Linked DNA regions of Oryctolagus cuniculus. The protein of the gene in region 3 interacts with the protein of the main gene of each other region in a pairwise test. Links are inferred from orthologs where the notes say so. Each region holds a gene or a part of one and is shown on either strand. Other genes may lie near its edges. The genes, in order: TMCC2, SAMD3, HSPD1, LZTS2 and CEP70.

Region 1 (2,625 bases), on a different chromosome or scaffold from region 3:
GGGCACCCTCTGTGGGAACCACTGGGAGTGGGGGCCACAGGCAGGGGGCAGACACTACTTCAGAACACACACGGGTGCCTGGTGAGCAAATACCTTGATAAGGCCAGGCTAGCCCCCAAGGTGGCCTCCTGGGGACCAGAGAGAGAGAGAGAAAGAAAGTGAGAGAGTGAGAGCGAGAGCCAGATGCGTGGAGTAAGGTCTCTGCTGCCCTCTTGTGGCCACACTTGGGCATGACTGCTGTCATCCAGGCCCCTGGTGCCTTATTATCTGCTCAACAAACTCCCTCCCAAGTCTCTTTCTGGGAGGCGCTCCAGGAGGGCTGGATGGAGCTGGAGAGGGCTGACGTCGCCTCTCCCTATCACATCACCGAGGCCAGAGTTTGGGCTGCACAAAGCCAGGCAGGGAGATCCTAGAGTAAGATGAGCACAGGCCAACAGGTGTGGCCCAGCCCTTGTCACCCAGAAGGCTGGGTCTTGCAGAGACCAGCGAATCAGCCAACGCCAGACAGGACGGTTTGAAAACCGAGAGGGTGTTTATTTCCCAGGGAGGTGCACAGCGGCCGCAGGCACTGCTCTCCCGCTCCTTTCCCGAGAGATCCCCCCTCTGGAAAGTGCCCATGGGGAGGCTGGGACGTGAAGAGAATCCATACACGACACTCGGGAGCCTTAAAAAAACACAGAGACAGACACCCTCCTGCACACAGGTACACACGTACAAAATAAATAGACGTATAAAAGAGAGGCCACGCTCCCGCCGGGAGCCCCCGCCTGCAGCCGGGACCAGGCAGAGGCCGCGTGGCCAGAACAGGCCCCGGCTCCAGAGAGAGGGGCTCGGCGGGGAAGACGGGGGTAAGGGACAAGGGGACAAATAAATAAACAAACAGAGCCCGGTGTGCTGCAGGAGGCCTCAGGGCTGAGGCTGGGCCCCCCGCCCCCCGAGCCTGTTTCCCTGAAAGTGGCAGATCCAGCGACAGGCAGGAAGGCTCGAGCCACGTCCACCGGGCTCAAGGCAGCCCAGAACCAGGCCTGGAGCAAGTGGGGCGAGGGCCTGGGCTCCCGGCAGCTGCCTCGGGGGGCGCAGCCCCTCCTCTTCCTCCTCCTCTTCTCGGTGGCCCTCCTGAGCCCGGCCATCCTGCGGGTGGCCAGGAGACAGACATCATGGCCACAGTCCAGTGCCGCCGTCCCCTCCGGCTCCACCTGGCCGCCCGTGTCTCACATGGAGCTTTCTTTAGGCCAGCAGGGAGAAGGCGAGAGACAGAAGCAGGGGCAGAGGAGGGGCAGGAGCTGCTGGAACGGACGGGAAGAAGTCGAAGGGACCTGGGAGTCCCGGGGTCCCCCCTGGAGAAGTGTGGCCAGCGGGCGGGCAGCACGGCGGGGGCGGGGGCGGGGGCGGGCGGGCCGCTCAGCTGGGCAGCAGCACGTGCTCCAGGAGGTAGGTGACGGAGTCCCAGTGCTTCCAGAGGAGGAGCAGGACGAGGAGCAGCAGGGCGGTGCTGCCGATGCGCAGGCGCGTCTTCATGAGCGGCGTGATGAAGCTGGCCACGGTGGACACGAACACCAGCAGCACGGCCATGAGCGCCAGGATCACGTTAATGAACTTGCCCAGCAGTGCCCGCGCGTTGGCGTTCTCCACGCCCTCCAGCTGCACCACCTGCTGCTGCTGCTGCTGCAGCTCCAGCTTGGTGACCCGGGTCAGGCAGGACTCCACGGCCTCCTGCAGGGGGCGCAGGGGAGCTCAGGGGGGCGGGACCCCGGCCCCACCCAGCCCTCCCAGCAAGGACAAGGCTTATTAGGAAAGGAGTGTGCGGGAAGGAGAGGAGCCGGCCCAGCCCAGCTCTCTCGGGCTGCCAGCAGAGCTGGGGGCACAGCAGTCCTCCCCCGCGGCCTGCCGTTGCACGGTGCCCCCCCCCCCAGCCCCGGGCCTGCCTCCCTCCCTCCCCCTCTGAGCTCTGTCCCCACCCACCTGGATGTCCCGTGCCCGCTCGTAGGACTGGTAGGCCACCTTCTCCTCCATGCTGGCCAGCTCCTGCTTCAGGTTTGTCATCTCGTTCTGGTGCAGCTCGGTCAGGTCGTTGAGCTGCTCCTCCAGCCGCTCGTACCTGGGACAGGGAAGGGGCTGAGGGCTGGCCTGGCTCCTTCTCGAAACGGTCACTCGGCCCACCCCATGTGTCCACAGGCAGGCCTCGTGCTCGGCCTTCGATCCACACCACCCCCACCACTCCTGCCCCAGACAGGACATGCTGTACCCATTGTACAGACAGGAAGACTGAGGCACAGCTGGTAAGGAGCCTGCTCTGCCCAGGATCACACAGCTGGGGCAGGGAGGCATTCGGGCCTGGCTGCCTTCAGCCTGGCTGACCGCTGCACAACCCAAACCTTCCTTACTTACGAGGTCCTTCCAGAGGCTGGTGGAAAAATGGAATCAAAAGCTTATTTTTTGGCCAGCGCCACGGCTCACTAGGCTAATCCTCCGCCTTGCGGCGCTGGCACACCAGGTTCTAGTCCCGGTTGGGGCACCGGATTCTGTCCCGGTTGCCCCTCTTCCAGGCCAGCTCTCTGCTGTGGCCAGGGAGTGCAGTGGAGGATGGCCCAAGTGCTTGGGCCCTGCACCCCATGGGAGACCAGG
Region 2 (3,518 bases), on a different chromosome or scaffold from region 3:
ACCTGAGCACTGGCATGGGAGGCTGGAGGTGGTAGAGAGGGAAACAGTTCAGAGAGGACAGCCCAGAGCCAATACCCATGCAAGAGTTCATATGAGAAGAGCTGCTCTTCTCTGCACACATGGGGTTGCTGGGACCTCACAGACCTGAGTCTGAGGCTGGTGCTCTTGCCCTGATGGTTGTGGATCCTGTGCCAAGGTGACAAAGCCATTCAGGAAAACTTCTTCTCTAAAACTAAGTTTCACTCACAGAAGAGAAAATAACACCTACTCTGCAGGATTGCTGTGTGGACTAAATGAGATGGCAACATAAAGGGTTTGTGAGAACTATAAGAGGTCGCACCTTGCTTGGCTCTTACCTGTTATTCTCCCTTTGCAACAGCCCCTCTTTCAATGATTGAGGAACTTGGCCACACGTTACCTACCATCGCTCTTGAGACTGTCTGGGCTCCACATTCCTGTGTATGCTTCTCTAGGTCTATACATTCCCTTTATTCTAACGTAAGCCATATATTGAAATACTGTACCATATAAAATCCAGTGTAGAAATATAAAGGAAAAGTTTTCCAAAACTGGGTTGCTATCAAGAATAGTCAAGCTAAAGCAACAACTACAAAATTCAGAACAAAGACTCCACTAAAGGCCTATTCTACAGAACATTATTCATGAAATAAACATCATCTTTTGCAGTTTATGGCAGTTTATGGCAGAGAAATCCTCTTTTATCTTAAGTATATGTACTTGAAGGATATGTATAATTTTAGAACTTTGCTTTTCCAATGTGAAGATCATAAAATATAACCTTTATCTTTTAGCAAATATTTTCACTACTTGACAATAAAATTCCCTTCCAGGATAGCAAAACACCTAACATTAGAAATATATTTAAACACAAGAAAGCTCATTTCAAAAAGAATGTTATCATTTGGCTTCAATATATATACAGTCAGCACTTTACCTCTGTTTCAATACTCTTTGGTCGATTTGTCCATTATCTAGGTTGTCAGCTGGGTAAAACGATGGTGTCTGTTCCTCACAGCTGGCTAGACTGGAAGACTGTTCATCTCTGTAACCAAGAAAGAAGAGGTGGGTCAAGCGCTATTCAACAGGAGCTATAAGCATTGATCTGATAGCAGCTCTGAGATTAGAGGTCAAATCGCAGGTAACATGATCTCTGTCCATGTCCAAGCTCCCCACGAGCCTCATAACTAAGATACTTGGAAGAAGGACCCTCTGGAGTCATCTCACTCAGTGGTTCCTATAAGTAGGGAGGGAGAGCGATGCCAGTTCATCATACTACTTTCACCCATCTATCATATTTTTAAATGGTGTTAGGATCACATGGGAAGCGGGATACACAGTAGACTCATAGAATGGCAGATGCCCTAAATAGCACTCTGGCCTCAGAATCAGCCCTTAAGGCATTCAGATCTGGCTAAAAAGCCCATGAGAGTATTTCAGGCATGGAAAGCCAAGACAATCTAGCAAACAAACAAAAAAATGACCTAAATGAAAGATCTCTGTGAGTGAAGTCCCAGCGGAAAGAACAGGCCATCAAGGAAGGAGGTACCTTTCTCTGAAAGGAGGAGAGAACTTCCACTTTGACTATGGCCTTATCTAAATAAGATCGCAGTTGGCAAATTCAAGAGGCTTCCATAACCTTGGTAGCTCATGACAAGAGCCTCGGGTGATTACTGACGTCATACTCCCATGTAGGATCTCTGTCCTTAATGTGTTGTACTATGTGAATTAAATGGTATAACTAGTACTCACACAGTACTTTATACTTTGTATTTCTGTGTGGGTGTAAACTGTTGAAATCTTTACTTAATATATACTAAATTGATTTTCTGTATATAAAGATAATTGAAAATGAATCATGATGTGAATGGGATGGGAGAGGGAGTGGGAAATGGGATGGTTGCGGGTGGGAGGGAGGTTATGGGGGGGGAAAGCTGCTATAATCCAAAAGTTGTACTTCAGAAATTTATATTTATACAATAAAAGTTTTTTAAAAAAAGAAAGTGTTTGCAAAATAAAAAATGGTGTTAGGATCATCCTTTCCTTTCTGAAATGATAATGACAATAGAATGTATCTTTTTTAAGTTAATATTCTTACTTGGTAAAATAAAATGGTAAACTCTATGTGATCCCTTCTCTACTTGTTGTCATTTTGGAGGACATTTTATTCTTTGTGAAATCTCATAATCTTAGAACCATATTCCACTAACATCCTCATTTTCCAAGTGAAGCAACTGGAATCCAGGAGGGAGAACAGCTCACTCATGGTCACAGGCTGCACAGTAGCAGTGACAAGGTTTCAGATCAGTTTTTCCAACATCCAGTCCAGTGATTTTTCTAGCAGCTTCAACAAGAGCAACAACCAAAAATACCAGTAAATAGTCTCACCTATTGCATAGTTCAATCATTCTCTTAAGTCTAAATAGGATGCCAAATACTCTGCCCAAATATGCCCTAAGGATGCTTTTCAAAATAATGCCCTGGGCAGCATTACCCAGGAAGTGGAATGTCACTCAAGTTGAAACCCATCTGCTATCTGTAATCTAGAATGCCAACCTAAAGCATCATTTATGCTCCCCACTTGATTTTACAGTTGAAGTTGAAACTAGGAGAAGTCAAGGTGAGAGGACTATCTAACATCCTATCAGGGGTGTGAAACTGAGTGCTTTGATAGCCAGCTTTAGGATGTCTTCTTATACCACGTCTATCTTTATTAAGCACTTTCCAACAGGCATTAATTAAATGACATATATCCATGCTTCTTTCAATCATCATTCACACTTGAAGTTATAACAAAATACTTAGTAGTGAGTGAATATCAAGGGTTTTCAAAAAGTTGGTGGGAAAAGCATATTATGAAAAGTTTCCTTATGGATTTCAAAATCCTTTTGTGCAAAAATATACTTATATTTTAATTCAATTTTTCCACAATCTTTTTGAAGTACACTCATACAAACAATAAGCATTCTACTCACAGGCAATTGTGATTTCATAACACTAATTTAACCCAAATGCCAGGCAACACAATCCTTCAAGTGACTCATGCCTAGCGGATAGAGTGGAAAGCCCCTACTGGACAGCAAGTCTTGAAAGACTTGGCTACATTTGCAACCAGCTTTCTTAACCAGGTTAACAAAGCTTGATAATGAGCACAGGACTGTTTTGGCTGAGAAAGGGAGCTGATTCTCTGGAAGATTAATATACTTGTAACATCAGTGTAAATTAATAAGGACTTAGGTAGCGCATTGCTTTTCACAGACGAAGACATGGGAGTGCCAACTTTGAAAATCATCAGTCTAAGTCAGTGGTAGAACCAGGAATGAAGCCCAGATTCCCTGGCAGTGCGGTCAGTTCTCATTGACTAGACAATAGCATACACTGATCTACAGTAGACAAACTTGCCTGTTTTCTCCTAGCTGTGCCTAAGGCAATATCAAGATTCCAGTCAACTGAAAGAACTTCCACTCACAAGTCTGACCTATCCAAAAACAACCAGAAAT
Region 3 (3,518 bases):
ATCACTTGTCCCACCAACCTGAAGTTCCAGAAGTTTCAGTTAGTATGGCTCCTCCCATTCAAGATGTGGACTACCTAAAAGGTCATTTAGAGATCATCCAGGAGCCAGCGCTGCAGTGCAGTGGGTTAAAGCCCTGGCCTGAGGTGTCAGCATCCCATATGGGCGCTGGTTCTAGTCCCTGCTGCTCCACTTCTGATCCAGCTCTCTGCTGTGGCCTGGGAAAGCAGTGCAAGAAGGCCCTAGTCCTTGGGCCCCTGCACCCACGTGGGAGACCTGGAAGAAGCTCCTGGCTCTGGATCAGCACAGCTCCAGCCATTTCGGCCATCTGGGGAATGAACCATCGGACAGAAGATCTCTTTCTCTGCCTCTCCTCTCTCTGTGTAACTCTGACTTTCAAATAAATAAATAAATCTTAAAAAAAAAACAAAAAAACACAACTATCCAGTTTACTTAAAATGCAATTTTAAGGGGGGAAAAATGTTGCCTACTTGTTAAAAGGAACTGCAACAACCCACAAAAGACAGATTCCAGAATGACTTTCTCATGAGCATCTTTCCCACAGCAATTTCCCCCCATAAAACTAGTTTACAAAAGCAATGTTTCGGTAAACAATTTTACATAATGAATATTGCCATGAGCACATTACTCCCTCAAATATTTAGGTTCCACAGTACTACTGGGAAATACTATAGAAGCAAAAATCAATACAACAGTGAATCTCACCTTTAGCACAGCTACTCCATCTGAAAGCTTTGCAAGACGTTCATTCAGTTTTTCTTTTTCATATTCACTAGTCGTGATGTCTAACTGCTCGATGATTTCTTGAATACGTTTTTCAATTTGAGCCTTGTCACCTTTTCCTTTCAAAAGCATAGCATCATCTTTGGTCACAATGACTTCTCCAACTTTTCCTAAGTCATGAGGTTGAACATCTTCAAGATTTAGGGTCAATCCCTCTTCTCCAAATACCTACAACATTTTAAAGTTGTAAGTTATCATACTGTACTTCTTTGAAATGAACAGACTTCAAGACCAACATAAGTCTATAAGAAGATTTAAATTGTCTTTCATTGCATTTTCAACATCTCAGTTTTCACAACTCTACCAGTCACTATTATTCTAATTTGAGAAATACTCAATGCCACACTTATTGAAGGAAGGGAGACTATACCGACCATAAGCTGAAATTCTTTTTTTTTTTTTTTTTTTGACAGGCAGAGTGGACAGTGAGAGAGAGACAGAGAGAAAGGTCTTCCCTTTGCCGTTGGTTCACCCTCCAATGGCCGCCGCGGCCAGTGCACTGCGCTGATCCGATGGCAGGAGCCAGGTACTTCTCCTGGTCTCCCATGGGGTGCAGGGCCCAAGCACTTGGGCCATCCTCCACTGCACTCCCTGGCCACAGCAGAGAGCTGGCCTGGAAGAGGGGCAACCGGGGCAGAATCGGGTGCCCCGACCGGGACTAGAACCCGGTGTGCTGGCGCCACAAGGCGGAGGATTAGCCTACTGAGCCGTGGCGCCGGCCAGGCTGAAATTCTTTAATCCCACAATGGATTATTTTTTATCACATTATTGACTTTCAAAACTGAAAGCAGATTTAGTAAAAAAGCTCATTCTTAGTAAGCCAAAAACATGGCAAATCAGAGATAAAAGCAGCAGAAGATAGCCCAGCGCTGGCCACTGTGGTCATTTGAAGAGTGAACCAATGGATGGAAGATCTCTCTCTCTCCCCCCTTTCCTTATAACTCTGCCTTTCAAATAAATAAATAAGTCTTTTAAAAATAAATTTTAAAAATTAAAAATAAACAGTAACTAATTGTGAAAAATTAAATTCTCTCTAAATTTTAGACCTGGAAATATAAATAACATTCAGTAAACAAATATAAAACTTAAGTTTACTTACTGCACCACCAGTAGCAATAGCCATATCTTTAAGCTGGTTCTTTCTATTGTCACCAAAACCTGGAGCTTTGACTGCTACAACCTGAAGACCAACTTTTAGCCTGTTAAGGACAGAAGACGGTGAGACTTAAATTGAATAAAAATACCTACTATCTAGTTTAGTTCCTCTCAAGTCCTGGTACTACCAGAACTGTTCATATTAAAAGAGGAAAAGTAGGAGACAGAGCTATATTCTACTCATCTATACTTCTTTGTAGCTGATTACCTTCTTAATAAACTGCTGGCCTCACATTCCAGTTGAACCGCTGAACCCAGAAGCAAAAATCACATTACAATTAAGGACATATTAGCAACTATTTTATGAGTGATGGAAAACAATAATTATAAAATATTAAAAGTAAATGAGTAATCTAATGAAGACTTCTATGGGTTATTGTTAAAGTTAAGTTTGAACAAAGAATGTCCCAAATTTAGCTCTTTTATAAATGTTATACAAAACTGTAGTGTTAAACTCACCTGAAATTTTATCAGGTAAATGAATACTTGAAATATCATAATCAAAGAAATGTCCATTAGAGAGCAGATTGTGAACAAAACTTTAAGACAGTGTCGCTCTATTTTACTGAGACAAATAAAAAACTAGGATAAGCTATGATGATATGCTATGAAAACTGGGCAAAGACTTTAGAGCTACCGGTAAACAGCTCAACAAAAACTTTGCACTGTTTAGAATATGACCATTACTTATTTCAAGGTTAAAACCAATATTAAACTATAAACTTGTTGAATAGACTTCATCTTATTTTAGGTTGAGTGTTAATTTCTCTCACTTGAGAATATGAAATACTTATCACTAAATACACTAAGGGATGAGGTTTTTATAATGGCAATTATTTCCTTCCTTCCTTGTTCCATGCAAAATTACCTTGTGTTCCTCGGGGCTCGCTTGTGGCACAGTAGGTTAAACTGCTGCCTGTGACACCTGCATCCCACATTAGAACACCGTTTGAGTAGCAACTGCTTTGCTTCCAATTTAGCTCCCTGCTAATGTATCCAGGAAAGCAGTGGAAGATGGCCCAAGTATTTGGGCCCCTGTGACCCACATAGGAGACCCAGATGGAGTTTCAGGCTCCTGGCTTCAGCCTAGACCAGCCCTGGCTGTTGCAGTCATTTAGGGAGTGAACCAGTGATGGACATCTCTCCCTGATGTTGTCTTTCAAATAAATAAAAATAATTCTTAAAGTCTTCTGAAACATGAAGATGCAAGCAGCACACCTGTACTCCAAAAAGCTGATAAAAAATAGAACTAAAGATAGTTTGGTCCAAAGAAACAATTTAAAACCATGCAGTTTTTTCCATAAGAGGCTTTTTACACAAATTTTGTAAAGAACTTTCATATACACTACAAATCTAGATACAAACACAGGTTGATAGAATATGGAGGAACATAATGGAGATTTCAAACATCAATACAAGTTCTTCATCAGGAAATGTGAAGTATCAAATACACTGCTTATTACCTATTCAAAACAAGTGTACTCAGAGCTTCTCCATCAACATCTTCAGCAATTATGACCAGGGGCTTACGGTGAGCATTGGCAATTTCAAGAGCAGGTACG
Region 4 (4,264 bases), on a different chromosome or scaffold from region 3:
AGCCGGGCTGGTGCCTCGCTCCCCGGCCCCACCCCCCAGCACTCCACCATGCTGATCCCAGCTGCTGCCTGAGCCTCCGGGCGCGCTGCCAGCAAGGGGAGGCGGCTCTGAGTGCCCCAGGAGGCCGGGATCAGGGCACGACCAGAGGAAGGGGCTCTCCACTGGGGAAGGGGCTCAGTCTGTTTTTGCGAAGCTGAGGGTCTGGGGTGAGCCTGAGGTTGGCTGGGCTATGTTTCCCTTTCCAGGGAAAAAGAAAGAAAAACAACCCATCGAGCTAAAAATAGAGCTGAGCGCCGGCCAGGGCTGTGGCCTGGAAGGGGGGGATGCTCCTTCCTGGGGCAGAGCCCAGCTCTGGCTGGCCTTGGCCCTGCGGGGGAGGGCTGCCGTCTGGGCGAGGGAGGCCGTCCTCGCCAAGGCCAGCGGGCATCAGCTGACCTGGCCAGGTCACAGAGACCCCTAAGGAAAGGTCTGTGTGATAGAGTGCATGCAAAACACGGTGTGCAGTATGAGAAGCTGTTTGTGAGTACTGCGAGGCTGTCAGCATGTGAAAGATGCTGGGAGGTGCGAGGGCCTGCGAGTTGTTGTGAAAGACTTAATGCACAACCGGTGTGACGCGGGGCTGCGCGGGAGCTGGCCTGGGAGTGCATGGAAGGAGGCCTGGGGGACCACGTGACGGATGAAGCTCTGCGATTGCGGCTGCCCGAGACTGAATGTGGGAAAGGTCGTGTGGGTGTTAAGATGTTGTTTCCAAGAGGGTGAGCATATGCGTGACCCTGAGGAGACCGTGGAATGTTGTCTGGTGGGAAGCTGGTGTAGGCTTGGGCTGTGCCTTTCCACTGGGGAGGCCAGAAGCCGCCCTTCCCCGGGCAATGACCCTTCTCTTAGCCAGCGACTCCAAGGGAAAGTTGGGGAGTCCAGAGCCGCGCCAAGGGCAGGCCTGGGCTGGCGTCCACGGGCACGGGCTGTGGAGTGGGAGAAGACCCCCCTGGGTCGGGGGGCGAGTAGATGTGCTCTGAGAACCGACCGCCAGGTGGCGCCGCCTCCGCAGATCCTCGTGTACCGCCTCCAGCCCGCTGTGGGGTGGGCCAGGCAGGGACCTGGCCGCGGCCCCCGACTAGTGCTGGGGCGCAGGGCCCCGGCAGCCGAGGAGCGGCGGGCAGCTGACCCTCGGCTTCCCGCTCTGGACTCTGAAGCTGGAGAGTGTCTGGGGCGGGCTTCGATTAGAGAAGCGAGGGGGAGGGGCCGCCGCGCCGCGCCTTGGCCCTTTGTGCTCGAACAATGACCAGCTGCCGCTGGCCCCGGGGCCCGGCTCTGGTAGGGGGTGACCCGCCCGCCGAATCCACAGCCGACCGAGCCGTCCGACACGCAGTCACCGAGACTCGGCGGGAGGGGTCCCGCTCGCCGCCGCGCAGCCCCTGCGTGCGCCCCAGCAGACACGCGTGACGTGGGGTGCCTGCGCGTGTCCGCGCCCCGGGGCGGGGACGCCCCTCGGACCCCTCCCCCGCGCCGCCCCGCGCCGCGCCGCCCACTCGGGCCGGGAGGGGACTGGCCCGGGCCGGGTGCGCCGCCGAGGCGGAGGCGGGGCCCGGCCGGGTCGGGCCGCTCCGAGTGGCCGCGCGCGGGCCGGAGCCGGGCGGCGCGCCTGTGGAGCGCTTGGGGCGGCCCGGGGCTGAGCATGGAGCAGCGCGGCGGAGGTGAGGGGGAGGCCGGGGCCGGGAGGAGACCCGGGGTCGCCCCCAACTTCTGTGCGGCGGCGTCGGGAGGGGAGGCGGCGTTCGGCGGCCGCCGTGCTGGTGGGGGGGGGGGGTCGTCGGCTGAGTGGGGGTGGGCGGGGGGAGGGGTCCCGGCTTCCTGCCTCGGAATGGGAACTCGGATCCCAGACTTGAGCCTGCGTGACTGTTCTTGGAGTTGAGGTGGGAGGGCGACTTTCCCGAACTCCTCAGCCCCCAAAACAGGTCTGCGCGAGCTCGGAGCGCGGCCAGAGCCGTCGCTGGCCCTGGCTGAGCCCCAGCCCTCAGCCCTCCGTCCTGCCCACCGCGGCGATTACTCGGGAGAGCGAGGGGTTCCCTTTGCCCACAGCCACGGCGCATTTCTCAAAATGGAGCCTCGGCTTGCCCCTCCTTCTCAGTCGGGCTCTGAGAGCGGGAGTCCTACTGGCTGGGCCTGGCTGGCCGGCTTTCGTCGCTCTGGGTCTGGGGGGCCTTGGCCTCTTGCGGTTCCGGGGCCTGGCGCCATGGGCCGGCCTGCCTGGCTTCCTTGGCCGCCTGACCCCCGCGCCTCCCTGAGCCTTTGTCTCGGCCTTTGGCTCTTTCTCCGAGTGGGCCCATCGCCTTCCTTCAGTTTTCACTTTTCTCTGTGCTCCCTGAAGAGGAGAAATGCGGACAGAAATGCCAGCCCGCATGGCCCCCTTAGCAGCCCCTTCCCCCGTCCTGTCCGTGCCTTACGTGGCCCTGCAGAGGGAGGAGGAGGCTCCCGGGTGCCCGCGTTGCCCAGGGCTGGAGCTTGGGGTGCTGTCAGGCCCCAGCCCTGCAGCCAGGCCCACCATTGCTCCCAGCAGCTCCTCCGGCAGTCTGGACTGACACCGACCTGGTTCTTGGTGTCTTTTCACTTGGGTAGAGAGGAAAGGGATGAACTCGATGGAACACAAGCAAGAAAGAAGGGGAACAGCTCGGACAAAGGTGGTTCCCCCTCTCCCCACACTCCAGAGTGAAAACTGGCGGGTTCCCTCGCACTCCCCGGTGCCCGACATGCCTGCCCTCAGAGCCTTCTCTGTGGGTAACCCGGCTCTGGCCGGCCTGCTGTGCACACACAGGAGTTCGCGGGGGGGAACCCATGTCCTGGGTTCCTCTTCAGCATCTCAGCACACTCACCTGTTACCTGTGCATTTACTACTCCTGCGTACTTGCATGGTGACCCTTAATTACACACGCATACGTGTGAGGTTCACACGTTAGTTCACACCTAGACGGGTGTATGTATTGAACATGTCCAAACACACACTCATGTTTTCACACGCATTATTCCTGGCACGCAGTGCTCACTCTGCTGCCCCTGGGCATAAAGGCGGCCATGAAGACCTGTACACGCACACATTCCTACTCCCAGGAAGTTTTCTGTCCGCCTCCTTGGCCTGCACGTTCTGCATGATGATTTCGGCAGATGCCAGAGCCCTGGTGCTCTGCGGCCTCGGGACCGGAGGGAGTTCCCCAGGGAGGCTTGCTCTCCCCTTCCAGGAAGGAGCAGAGCCCGGGGAGGTGGTGAGGTCTTGGAGCAGCTGCCAGAAGTGATGGTGGGGCTTCCGCCTCCATCGGGGTTTCTCTGGAGATGGCGGAAGCTGGAAGCTTCTGATAGAGGTTGGAGTCGGGCAGCGCCCATGAAGGCTCCTTTAGGCCCCATGTCACACCCTGACTGGGTATGGAGAGGGTAGGGGTTGTCATAGAAACAAGCAAGTGCCTGCATCACCTCCAGGAGGCAGGTGTGTGTGCCCTGAGAGCTGTGGACTGCCTGTTTGGCCAGCTCCACCCTTGCCGCCTCTCTGTCTGGGAGAAACTGAGGCCCAATAGGGGGAGGTGGGGCGCTGCTTGGCCTTGGCTCTTTGTTCCCTAATTATTGTCTGAGTTGCTGGTGGTGTCCTTGAGGTTGTCGCTGCCCAAACTGCCCTGTAACGAGGCCACCTGTCCCAGGAGACTGGGGACCTGGGCCAGGTGCTGGGAGAGAGGGCTTCTTGCCTAACCTGAGTCCTGGTCTCCGTGGGGCTGCAGGTCTGGGTCTGGGCCTCCACTGCCAGGTGGCCCTGTGCAGGCTTCCGATCCCTTCATCTCTGCCTGGTGGCCCTGTGCAGACCAGGGAGCAGTGGTCTGGGGCCCAGAGAGAAATGAGATTCGTGCCAGTACTTGGAAGAGGAGCCTTGGGGGGGGGGGGGGGTCAGGGCGTTGTTACTCATGTCAGGAAGGCGTTTGGCCTGGATCAGGGGACAGCACAGGGACTCAAGGCCTTGTATAGGGAGAGGGTATAGGATGCTGGGATTCTTTTTGTTTTGTTTTGTTTTGACAGGCAGAGTGGACAGTGAGAGAGAGACAGAGAGAAAGGTCTTCCCTTGCCGTTGGTTTACCCTCCAATGGCCACCACGGCCGGCGCACTGCGCCTATCCGAAGGCAGGAGCCAGGTGCTTCTCCTGGTCTCCCATGGGGTGCAGGGCCCAAGCACTTGGGCCATCCTCCACTGCACTCCCAGGCCACAGCAGAGAGCTGGCCTGGAAGAGGGG
Region 5 (3,518 bases), on a different chromosome or scaffold from region 3:
TTCCCACGTATTAGCAGGGAGTTGGATGCCTTCCAAGATCATAAATTCTACCAAGATTTCTTATTATGCAATGACAATGCCAGGATCAACTGGGCATGACCAGAGTACTGCCATTTTTCTCAGAAGGCCCCAAAACAAAGGCAGTCCCGATCTCCTTAAAGAGTCTGTGTTTCCCTGCTCTGTGAACGAATCCCATCCAACTTTAACTACAAATTAGGAGGTTATTTCCAAAATTTGGTGATTTTCAGACAATTTCTAAAAAACACTGGAAGCAAAAATACTAACCCAGTGACCAAGGAACACTTATATTCAACCCACTGACATCTTAAAACTCAAAATTTAATCATTATCAACAGAGGTCTTACCTAAGATTTCAAGAAGATCGTTGGTAAATGCCTGAAATGCTGGGAAAAATTCCTCATGTTCTTCTAACTTCTTGATAATGCTGTTTTAAAAAACACACAATTTACACCAAGATTTCAACTTATGGTTGTTACATGTAGTTGCAGACATGGATGCAAACAGAACATTTTCAAACCACAAAGATACTATGCCAATTAATGATCAAAATACTATAATCCTTCCTTTTTGACCTCTTTGTTCACCTAAGACTGCATTTCTTAAAAAAAAAAAAAAGGAATATTATCAGTGTAGATACTTGTTAAATTTATGTAACAAAAATCCTAACATGGCAAACTTTTCATTTAGCTCTAGGCTTCTTAGGAAATATTTTTTAAACATTTTTAAAAAAATAAGTTTTTATAACCAGTAGCCTATTAAACATTAATAAAACTAGCAGTAATCAACAAAACCATGGGAAGGAGAAAAAAGCCAATATGGGATATATTTTGATTTTAAAAGCATCAAACATCAGCAAACTCAAGTGTCAGGTTATATACTGGTTATTCCAGGGAAAGTTACAGAATATATGAAGTATCTGGTATATATGTGTACTTTCCTTACCATATATTATAGTACAAAATTGGGGGTAAGGGATGGAGAAAGTTGCTGTAGGTACAGCCATAGTGTCTCAGTATTTTTAACAAACATTAAGTTTTGTTAGTGGTGCCTAGTCTTTTAAAAAATCCTTAACACTTATCTCCTTAACAGTAAAATACTGTTAGTGATTATTATGTGATCTACAGCAGTATGCTAAAAATAGGTCTTGTTGGGGCCTGCACCGTGGTATGGCCAGTGAAGGCACCACCTGTGGCACTGGCATCCCATATGGGCACCAGTTCAAGTCCCAGTTGCTCCACTTCCAATCTAGCACCCTGCCAATGTGCCTGGGAAAGCAGTGGAAGATGGCCCAATGCTTGTGTACCTGTACACATGTGGGAGACCTAGAAGAAGCTCCTGGCTTCAGTTTGGCCTAGATGGGCTCCACTCTGGCTATTGTGGTCATTTGAGGACTGAGCCAGATGATGGAAAATCTCTAATTCTGACTTTCAAATAAATAAATTAAAAAAAAAAAAAAAAAAAAAGGCTTGTTGACATAATCCAGAACTCATGAAATGGCTAAAAAGTTTGGCATTTCTCCATATATAACTTTAGGTTTATGCTGAAGAACTCCTGACCCACCTTATGGAAACTTAAAGGCCCTACAATCTGTTATTTTGAAATGACCTGGCATTTTCCCTGTTCCTATGGATGTGAGTTTATTTTAGGTTGTTAAGTTACTTAAAAGAGGATATTCCAAAAACAGAAGGTAGATAACTTATGTTATCTTTTCAAGTCTGTAATTTTACAACTTCTAGCACTACAGATGATACTGTTCAAACAAATACCTCTGGAGATCTTCAGGTCCTAATACTTGCTTAACCTGCTCGTTCACATCCTCATTAATCAGACTACACAGTTTTCCAACTGTGCTTACCAACACACACATTGATGATGAACTATCTGCAAAAAAGAAACAAAAGGACAGGATATTTAGGAGTGCTTGGCCTAGCAGTTAAGTTGGTGGCTGGGATGCCAGAGTGTGTTAGTTCAATGCCTGGCTCCAGCTCCAGTTCCTGATTTGTTTCCTGCTAATGTGGCCCATGGGAGGCAGTGGTGATGGCCACTGGCCATTGTGGGCATTTGGGGAGTGAACCAGCAGACAGAAGCTTGCTCTATAATAAGTAAATTTTATAAAGCAGGTAGGATACTTAAAAAGAGAATTTTCAAAATCAGTACAGCTACCAAACATTTTAGGCTTCAGGAAAGGACATTAAGCACAGTGGTGAAGATATTGTCCAAGACACCTACATCTCATATCAGAGTGCCTGGGTTTGAGTCCTGTCTCCGCTCCCAATTCCAGCTTCCTACTACTAGTCACCCACATGGGAAACCCAGATTGGGTTCCCAGATTCTGGCTTCAGCCTGGCCCAGCACCAACTGTTACAGACATCTGGAAAGTGAACTAGTAGATGGCAAATCTTAGTCTTTGACAAGTTAAAAAAAAAAAAAAAGATAAATTATTTTATGCTCCAGTTGTCCTCTTTTTACCTTGCTTTTGTTAATTAGAAATAATTATTAAATGGGGACCAAAAATGACAAAGGCCATCACCTAATTCTAGGAGTTCCTGGAGGTTTCTCACAGCATTGCTCATTTCTCCAAGCCTAGTGTAAACTTCATTCATTCGGGGATAGACTCCATTTAAAGAAGGTACATCAAATAATTTTTGGAAGTGAGAGACAATAGCTTGCAAAGTTTGAAAGTTTGGTACTTTGCTGTCCTGTCCAAAAGAGAGGGTGGGAAAGAAATACAGTAGACATTTTAAAATAATCCCAAATGTTTAATTAAAAAACACTTATTTTAAAAGAGAAATAGAATGTTAGTAGAATATGTAATATCCATATAAAATTTTAAGATAAAAGTATATTACATTTTGAACATTTATAAAAATAAATATTACCTTTTCCTTATTTTCAACTTCTTCCAACATGGTATCTACCATAAATAACAGATCACCAACTCTGATTCCTTCATTTTCATCCTGCTTCCTTAAATTATGCCAAGGTACCAGCTCTGCAGATAGTATTTTCAAGGACTTATACAAATCCTTTATAACAGAAGAAACTACATGGTATTATTGATTTATGTAAATATTTCTACAGTAACACTAATAAAACACAATTATCCAAGCAGCTTAAAAAATATATAGCCCAATTATATGTTTTATAAAACATACTATTACCAATTTAGAACAAGTGTTTTTTAAAACTAGGTTTCTTCAGGTAAATATAAGCTTTGCCAAAATATTATACATTGATTTTCCTGAATTTGTATGCTAAAGTAATGACATCTTATTATTATTACATGTTATTTAAATATATATTTGAATGACTGACACATAAATAATAAGTTTACCCTTATATTTTAGTTTTGGATTTTTTTATGATAGCTTTATTGAGATGATCACATACCATAAAGTTAATACCTATTGAATATATAATTCAGTATTTTTAGTATTACTACAGTAATGAGCAAATTTCATCACTAATTTCAGAGCATACTCATCACCCTCAAAAGA

The links.
Region 1: the proteins of HSPD1 (region 3) and TMCC2 interact in a two-hybrid assay, tested with the Homo sapiens proteins (2 studies listed by BioGRID). The two-hybrid records come from large-scale screens. The link is inferred for Oryctolagus cuniculus from reciprocal best matches to the Homo sapiens genes HSPD1 and TMCC2.
Region 2: the proteins of HSPD1 (region 3) and SAMD3 interact in binary tests that used the Homo sapiens proteins (3 or more experiments, as listed by UniProt). The two-hybrid records come from large-scale screens. The link is inferred for Oryctolagus cuniculus from reciprocal best matches to the Homo sapiens genes HSPD1 and SAMD3.
Region 4: the proteins of HSPD1 (region 3) and LZTS2 interact in binary tests that used the Homo sapiens proteins (3 or more experiments, as listed by UniProt). The two-hybrid records come from large-scale screens. The link is inferred for Oryctolagus cuniculus from reciprocal best matches to the Homo sapiens genes HSPD1 and LZTS2.
Region 5: the proteins of HSPD1 (region 3) and CEP70 interact in binary tests that used the Homo sapiens proteins (3 or more experiments, as listed by UniProt). The two-hybrid records come from large-scale screens. The link is inferred for Oryctolagus cuniculus from reciprocal best matches to the Homo sapiens genes HSPD1 and CEP70.

Annotation. Positions count from the first base shown.
Region 1 is NC_091444.1:20,627,818-20,630,442, reverse strand, and holds the end of TMCC2 (transmembrane and coiled-coil domains protein 2), read right to left. Parts: intron 2,099-2,625; coding exon 1,963-2,098; intron 1,714-1,962; coding exon 1,402-1,713; 3' UTR 514-1,401; downstream 1-513.
Region 2 is NC_091436.1:38,930,232-38,933,749, reverse strand, and holds part of SAMD3 (sterile alpha motif domain-containing protein 3), read right to left. Parts: intron 1,064-3,518; coding exon 956-1,063; intron 1-955.
Region 3 is NC_091434.1:42,771,221-42,774,738, reverse strand, and holds part of HSPD1 (60 kDa heat shock protein, mitochondrial), read right to left. Parts: coding exon 3,420-3,518; intron 2,001-3,419; coding exon 1,901-2,000; intron 970-1,900; coding exon 724-969; intron 19-723; coding exon 1-18. UniProt on the Homo sapiens protein: Chaperonin implicated in mitochondrial protein import and macromolecular assembly. Together with Hsp10, facilitates the correct folding of imported proteins.
Region 4 is NC_091446.1:28,872,949-28,877,212, reverse strand, and holds the start of LZTS2 (leucine zipper putative tumor suppressor 2), read left to right. Parts: upstream 1-1,449; 5' UTR 1,450-1,694; intron 1,695-1,832; exon of another isoform or gene 1,833-2,557; 5' UTR 2,558-2,627; coding exon 2,628-2,678; intron 2,679-4,264. UniProt on the Homo sapiens protein: Negative regulator of katanin-mediated microtubule severing and release from the centrosome. Required for central spindle formation and the completion of cytokinesis.
Region 5 is NC_091435.1:143,243,405-143,246,922, reverse strand, and holds part of CEP70 (centrosomal protein of 70 kDa), read right to left. Parts: intron 3,048-3,518; coding exon 2,901-3,047; intron 2,721-2,900; coding exon 2,552-2,720; exon of another isoform or gene 2,251-2,551; intron 1,903-2,250; coding exon 1,788-1,902; intron 446-1,787; coding exon 366-445; intron 1-365.